Linked DNA regions of Drosophila melanogaster. The protein of the gene in region 1 interacts with the protein of each later gene in a pairwise test. Each region holds a gene or a part of one and is shown on either strand. Other genes may lie near its edges. The genes, in order: wge and CG16753.

The links.
Region 2: the proteins of wge (region 1) and CG16753 interact in a two-hybrid assay, tested with the Drosophila melanogaster proteins (one large-scale study listed by BioGRID).

What each region holds. Positions count from the first base shown.
Region 1 is NT_033777.3:22,717,919-22,723,012, reverse strand, and holds the start of wge (winged eye), read left to right. Parts: upstream 1-1,862; 5' UTR 1,863-2,489; coding exon 2,490-2,934; intron 2,935-2,995; coding exon 2,996-3,142; intron 3,143-5,094. Other genes in the region: Irp-1A (iron regulatory protein 1A), read left to right, coding at 1-689, 754-1,583.
Region 2 is NT_037436.4:3,053,392-3,056,662, forward strand, and holds CG16753 (uncharacterized protein), read left to right. Parts: upstream 1-1,687; 5' UTR 1,688-1,764; coding exon 1,765-2,298; 3' UTR 2,299-2,451; downstream 2,452-3,271. Other genes in the region: CG1271 (uncharacterized protein), read left to right, coding at 1-349, 407-859, 926-1,089, 1,149-1,425.

The DNA.
Region 1 (5,094 bases):
GTGCGAAGACTTCAAGTCGTGCCTCATAAGTCCTGTCGGCTTCAAGGGATTCGCCATACCACCGAGTGCATTGGCTGCAAGTGGTGAATTCCAATGGGACGATGGGAAGAGCTATAAGATAGGTCATGGATCTGTTGTGATTGCCGCCATCACCTCGTGCACGAACACTTCGAATCCCTCGGTGATGTTGGGCGCTGGTCTGCTGGCCAAGAATGCCGTGCAGAAGGGCTTGAGTATTTTGCCGTATATCAAGACCTCATTGTCACCAGGATCTGGCGTGGTTACCTACTATCTGAGGGAATCCGGTGTGATTCCCTATCTGGAGCAGCTGGGCTTCGACATTGTGGGCTATGGCTGTATGACCTGCATTGGCAACTCGGGCCCGCTCGATGAGAACGTAGTGAACACCATCGAGAAGAACGGACTGGTTTGCTGTGGCGTCCTGTCGGGCAATCGCAATTTCGAGGGTCGCATCCATCCCAATACTAGGGCCAATTATCTGGCCAGTCCGCTGCTGGTGATTGCCTACGCGATTGCCGGCCGTGTGGATATTGATTTCGAGATCGAACCGCTGGGCGTGGATTCCAACGGCAAGGAGGTGTTCCTGCGCGATATCTGGCCAACGCGCAGTGAGATTCAGGAGGTAGAGCATAAGCACGTCATTCCCGCCATGTTCCAGGAGGTGTACAGTGAGTATAGCTAGCTGACTAAGATTTTTCCGCAGCTCTAGGCTAACTGTGTCCGCTATCACAGGCAAAATTCAACTGGGATCCAGGGACTGGCAAACGTTGGAGGTGTCGGATAGCAAGTTGTATCCATGGAGTGAAATATCAACATACATCAAACTACCACCGTTCTTCGAGGGTATGACTCGTGCGCTGCCCAAACTTAAAGGTATCGAGAAGGCTCGCTGTCTGCTGCTTCTCGGTGATTCAGTGACCACCGATCATATCTCGCCAGCCGGATCCATTGCACGAAAGTCACCGGCAGCGCGCTATTTGTCGGAAAGGGGTCTAACGCCGCGCGACTTTAATTCGTATGGATCCAGACGTGGCAATGATGCGGTGATGGCACGCGGAACCTTTGCCAACATCCGTCTGGTCAATAAACTGGCATCCAAGACGGGACCCAGCACACTGCACGTGCCCAGTGGCGAGGAGATGGACATCTTCGATGCGGCGGAACGGTATGCGAGCGAAGGAACACCTTTGGTTCTGGTCGTAGGCAAGGACTACGGCAGTGGCAGCTCACGTGATTGGGCCGCCAAGGGGCCATTTCTGCTGGGCATCAAGGCGGTGATTGCTGAATCGTACGAGCGCATTCACCGCTCAAATCTGGTGGGCATGGGCATCATTCCGCTGCAGTTCTTGCCTGGCCAGAGCGCCGATACCCTGAAACTGAGTGGCAGGGAGGTGTACAACATTGTCCTGCCCGAGGGCGAACTGAAGCCGGGCCAGAGGATTCAGGTCGATGCTGATGGCAATGTCTTTGAGACCACGTTGCGTTTCGACACCGAGGTGGACATAACGTACTACAAGAATGGCGGCATTTTGAACTATATGATACGCAAAATGCTGGATTAGTTAGTGCGTTCGTTGACTTTTATATTCCATATGCATTTCTAGGCGACTTTTAATTGTTATTATGTGCTGGGAAATAAAATTTGACATTCATCTGTGAGATGATAATTATTAAAAAAAAAATATTTCAAATATTTTATAATATTTTAAATTGCGCGCTCTGGATGTTATCGATAGCAGAAATGCCGATGGCCAAACCAGTCCTGCTAAAAATGCCTAACGCCTGCTGGTGAATCATCGACAAGGCAGCAATAAAATCGAATAGTCCCTGTTATATCGCTGTTAACTTAACATAGTTCGCTGCTTCTTTTTTTGTCCGTCCCGTGGACTTTTCTCCAGAGGATTTTGATTCCAATTCGCAAAAGAAAAACATAAATAAGCAACAGATCGTGTGTTGGCCAATAGCTCTGCAGCCAGTGCTCGATATTCACTTGGAAGAACCGCGCAAAAACGCAACAACGCAGCAGGAAAGTCGCGCCTCCGCCTCCCCACCAAAAAAAAAAAACACAAAAAAAAAGAAAAGATCTCGGATCGCACAGGGTTTTATTTTGGGCAACCGCACTTGGACTGGTGGGTGCTTCGGTTCCCTCGACCTGTGGATAGTGCCCAGTGGCGTCGCGTCGCTTTGGATTATGTCATTTGTTTATGGGGAATTGCCGCAGGCCCAGTAGCCAATGTTGCATCCGAAAGAGGCAGCGAAAACCTGTAAAAATGTAGACTGTGTGCGTGTGTGTGTGGGCCAGTGCTAGTGTGTGTCCGTGTGCCGTGTGTGTCCACGTGTGTTTGTGTGTGCGGATAATGGACGTTTAGTTTTTGGTCGAATCCGCAAGATATATAGTGAAATAGGTATAGGCTAGAGATCCCAGGGAGCGGTAGCCATACATATATGTGCACAGCCACCGCTACCCGATGGCCACGTTTAATCCTGGCGCCAGCAGCAGTGCCGCCGACGTTCTGAGCGCCACCACAGCAACGGCTACTTTTCTGGTGCCCACCACTGCGGCAGTATCGCATCCTGGTGCCCATACCGCCCATCTGCAGCTGGATCAATTCGGAGGCTTCTCCGCGGCGACGGCCACTCCCCTGCAGCACCATCACCATCAGCAGACCAACTCGTCGTACACTTTTGTGCAGATCAAGAGGGAACCCTGCCAGGTGTCCGAAATAAGCTCGAACAATTGCCACCAGCAACAGCAGCAACATCACCAACACCACCAGCACCAGGTGCAGCATCAGGGCCTGTCTTCCGCCTCGATGACCGCCTCCTCCAAGACCATGTCCTCCTCCACACTGACCACTCTCGTCAAAATAGAGGCTCCCTCGCCAAAGGTATCGGAATTGGAAAAGTCCACAGGTAGGTGACACCCAGCCACTGGTCAAGAGCACTCCTCATCGGTTAATTACGATTCTATCAGGCAACTCCGTTCCCATTGGCATCGCCGTGGCCAGGAAACGCCCGCAAGAAGCTCTGGTGCCGGCTATCAACACCCCCGCTACGCTGCCGCTGCAGCCACCACTCAACAAGGACTTGAACTGCTTCGGCATACGCGTCGCTGACCTCGGTGAGTGCCAAGCTACACAGAGAGAAATGCAGCTTCATCTCATGGAAATAATAAGTTCTTAGTGATATTCAAGGGGATGTAAACTGTTTTAAGGTATCTGCTATCTTTGAGATACCAAATGATTTACTTAAAGAATCATTAGATATTTCTAGATGCTGTTTTCCATTTGTGTTAAATGATATGTAAATTTAAGACAATCACTGTCTTGTGCCATACATTTTTTCCATCCGTGTAACTTCTGGGCATCTAATTCAATTGAGTCACCAGATTTGAGCGCCCCTAATGAACGGCGCTTCCCAAGGGACAACGTTATATGATGCTTATGATGCCAGGACGTGGACGTCGTTCAATTATGCCACTAATAAGATTGCCAACAAACGTTCAGCGCTGTGCGGAATTCCATCAGTGAGCAATGGCCGAGGGTGTCGTCTCCGCCTTAAACAACCCGCTGGAGTTTAGAGGGCAGGAATCATATGATGGCCGCCTGTTGTGCGGCTGTCGTTGTTGTGACAGCCACCGAATCGACTGGATTCGACTCAAAACGGCTCATCCCCATATCCATCCTCCCTTGCGGGCAGAAGGAAACCCGGTGGTAAATCATACGAACTTCTAAAGCGGAAGTGAAACGAAAGTGAAACACATTGCGATTTGAGAAGGGAGGCTTTGCGTCGCCTTGGCTCTGGTCGACTTGAAATTGCTCTTTAGATGGGCACATAAATATGTTTATATTTTTTTGGGGGTGTGTTTTGTCGCCGTAGCCAGTCGAATTACATTTTCCGGATTATTTTTAAAGTCTGCTAATGGTGAAATAATCAACCATGCCCATGACACGAACATGAACTTTATGATCTTGGATGGGTTACTTTTTCATATCAATCTATTTACAAAATAGTACCAGATGTGCCATAGCCTTAATCAAAGAGCAAGAGTACAGGAAACTGTGTACTTTGTTTTAATCACTACATGGAATTTCATGTTATTCTTTAAATGATAACGTCTATAAATGGTTAGAGCAATATGATGGCAGGGAAATGAATCATTACACTTAACTAAATGAATATATAATTTGTATTGCTTTGACTTTACAAAGTTGCACTTATTTTTTGTTATTTTTACCTGGAATCTCCATTTACTCATTTATTATTATCAACTCTGATAAAATTGAAGTCACAAGCTACTTTTTGCGGGGGTTTTTATTTTTATATATCTATTAAACTAGAAGTTCAACGCTGCTATAAAAATCCAATGCAAAAACAGATTGAAATTTTGTTTTTATATCTATTCTGGGTATTTCCCAGAAGTTCTCTTTTAGTAAGAAACTCTGACAGAACAGCTCATTCTCGATTGAGGGTGTTTATTTTCATGCATCAAATACGTTTTCCTTTTAGATTTTTAGAATGACTTCAGAAAATACATATTTTTAGCGGGTTCTAGTGCTTTTGAGTGCAGAAAAAAACCCTTATAAAGTAGGCGCATTACTTATGGTTCGGCAATGAGCAGAGTATCGAGGGCTTCGGCTTAGTTAGCATGCTCCAATGGAGCTGAAGCTAAAGTTCCAGTTGCGTGGGCGCCATTCAGAGGAACATCAGAGCGGGAATCCAAAGACAGATTACTCATGGACTCATGGTGCTCGGGTGGGTTGTTTTTTCAGACTTCAGACAAGGTAGCAGCGGTGGCTGTTGCTAGAAGTAGTCTGGAATCTGTGTGTGTGTGTGTGTGTGTGTGTGTGGGGGAACCAGGAACAAGTAAGGCATCACCTATAAGGGATGCTCGAGCTGGATGCTCGGATGCATGAGTGGTTCTCCGGGGATGGGAAACTAAAGGGGAACTGGGTAACAAACCGGGCGAATCATCCTCCAGGACACAGGACCTAGCAACATGACACGCCGAATTGGATTCAGTAGACGACCATATGGAAGAGTCTTCCTAACGTGCCGCTGGTTATTATTTTT
Region 2 (3,271 bases), on another chromosome or scaffold:
TGCCAGCTGGACGAAGAGCTCCATGAACTGGTTCTCGTATGCCCTGTTCCTTCTCACCCGCCAGTCACGATTCCTCGCCGGCAGCGTTCTCCAACTGATGAATGGCCAGGTCACTCCAAGGCTACTCTTCGAGATAATGAACAACAAGAAGTTGAAGCAGGCTCTGATGCAGAAGAAGGCGCGCGTGGAGCTGTTGGACTCGTGGATCCTGCACAAGCTAAGAACTGGCAGCAGTCGCGATAAGGATGTGGAGCACATAACCGATGTGACCTCGAGTACGGCGACGGGTTTGTACGATCCGTTCACGCTCAGCTGGTCGCCGCTTATAAGCTGGCTATTCGGCATCAATGTGAGTTGGCTATATCCTCCATCAGGCTCTATTTGCATTCATTTGCTTCCATTGCAGTCAAAAATCTTGCCGCGTGTGGTGGACAACGGCTACAAGGGCTTTGGGCATGTGCATCCTACTGCCTTCGGTCCGGATTGGGCCAACACAGAGATACCCATTGCTGCCTCTTTAAGTGACCAAACAGCAGCCATTTGGGGCTCGCAGTGTTTCCAGAAGAACGACGTCAAGGTCACAATGGGTACTGGTGCGTTCCTTAATCTGGTAACAGGCGATCGTTGCCAAGCTGTCATCTCTGGCATGTATCCATTGGTGGCCTGGCAGTTCAAGAAACCAACCAGGCAGCAGGGAGCTGTCTACTGCATTGAGGGAGCATCCCATGACTTTGGCACCGTGGTCACTTGGGCGCAATCGTGCGAGCTCTTCGATAGTCCAGCGAACACCTCAGATATTGCACAGTCCGTTCCAGATACGAACGATGTGTTCTTCATGCCGGCCTTCAGTGGCCTGGGGGTATGTTTTTTAAAGCACTTTTGCAACTGGTTCAAGATTACCTAATCCCCATCTTATCTTTGACAGCCCCCGGTGAACGATTATCGGTCAGCAAGTGGCTTTATTGGCCTCACTCCGTCCACCACCAAAGCCCACATGGTGCGGGCTCTGCTCGAGAGCATAGTATTTCGTCTGGTGCAGCTGATCGAGGCCGCTGAGAAGGAGACCTCTCAGAAGCTTCATATGATTAGGTATTTCTGTCTATCCATCTTAACCAATTTTACATTGCACTTATTTTCTTCTATTTTAGGGTTGATGGCGGCGTCTCCCGCAATGACTTCGTCTGCCAATTCCTTGCGGATCTCAGCCGACTGCGGGTGGAGCGGGCGGACAATGCGGAGAGCAGCATCATGGGAGCCACGTTCATGGCGGGCATCAACCTCGGAATCTGGCGCGATGTGAACGATCTCAAACGTTTCCGGAAAGTGGCGCGAGTCTTTGAACCGCGTCCCAAGGAGTACGAAACCATTGCCAACCGGATGGACAAATGGAGCCGGACGATTGCCCGGTTTAGTGACTGGTATTAGGTTAAACTTTTATTCTCTGTCTTTGTTATTTGTTATTCATTAGTCACTTAGAAGGCTAGGTAGTTGGTAAATAAAATGCTGAATTTATATATTACATACGTTTTTATGGGCTGTGGAATATATATATATTTTAAATGACATATTTAAGTGCTAATCTTCGAAGCTGAATAATAAATTTCAAATATATTAACCAACAATCAGCTTGCCGCCGATAACCGATAACGAAGCACTGTTATTGTCATCGCTAACCATACCGGGTGTGGTGACACTGATTTTGGGGCTTAGCACGCTGCACGTTTGTTTTTATTTTGATTTTGTTGGTGCACAAATCGCAGTAGAATGGCAAAAACGAAGAAAAATGTAAGGGCCAAGGCGAAAAGCGTGGTGGGGGCGGCCAAGCAGAAGGCTCAGGACATGAAGGCCAAGCTGCGCGAGGATCGTCTGCTCCACAAGACCCTTACGCCCAAGAAGACGACCACCAAGAAGGAGAAATCCGAGGCGAAACACAAGAAGCTGCTCAAGAGATTCGCCGAAGCGCGTAAGAAACGCAAGGAGGAGCACAAGAATCGCGAGAAGACCAAAGTTGTCGGAGATCTAAAACCACTGCGGGATGCCCTACCCTCGCTGCAGGACATCTACAAGCTGGTGAAGACCAAGCAAAAGGATGTCTCCGAGGGGGCAGCCCTCACAGAACCAGAGGTCCGACTGAGTGCCAACGAGAAGATCCGGAAAAAACGCACTGAAATGGTCAACACCGTCAAGTCCTTCGAAAAGCTCATCAAAGACAAGAACTTCAAGAAGAATCCCCGCGAAGTCATCGCCGCCCATGTGCGCAACAAGTACCAGGCGATGGAAGAGGACGACTACGAATAGAAGCCTCAAATCAGCAGATTAATTATTTTTAGGTATAAACATAAATAATACAAGGATTGTAAAGAAATATACGATGACGCAAGTATGTTAGTCCAAAACTATGAAAAACGTTACTAATTGAGCACTGTAAAATAAACTGTGCATATCTAGAACAATTTATGATCAATGTTTAGAGCTAAAAAATTCAGTTGCCCCCAAGAAGAAAACAGGTGGATTTTGTTTATTAAGAAGTATCTTTATTATATATGCATTAGGTATAGTTATCATTTAACGATGCATATAAATATTACACGTACGAATGTAAGTTGTAAGCATTAAATCGTAAGAGGGTCAACAGAACGAGGATTAGACAAGATTCGAACGTGAGGACTTTTGGGGGGATCTTTGCATTTTACGGCCCGGGCTATGTGATCGTAGTTAGTCTATCGCTACGTTATATCATAGAGCGTTCTATATGCGCCTGCTTAGGGTTCGAATTTCAACTTGGTGTTGTTCTTCTTACAGTGAAAACGGAGCCGTGGACTCGAGGTCCTTGCGTCCGGACAGTTAATCTACGGCTATTTTATGGTTATTATCGGTATTATCGCGTTAGCGTGGGCTGGCTCCTTCCTGTGAGATCATTAAACGCTAGTCAAACACACATCAGTCGTCTTGTCCATCGTATCGTATCCATTTCGCCACCAGCACTAACAGTAGAGTTAACATAGCTATTGAAAGGTGTCTCCATAAAATGGCGCTATCTCATCTCATGTACAAAATGTAGCCGAATCTACACTAAACTTAGGTTACAACCTACCGCGTTACGTCTGCGTGATCTTAAACTTCATTGAAACATGAACGGGATCGGGAACGGGTTGCGGGCTATCGGGAAGCGGTTCTCGGTTAGGCCCAGGCTCGTCGTTACCGCCTCGAAGTATTACATATACATTGATAGAAAATATAAGTCAACTATATCTAGGTTTTGCACATTCAA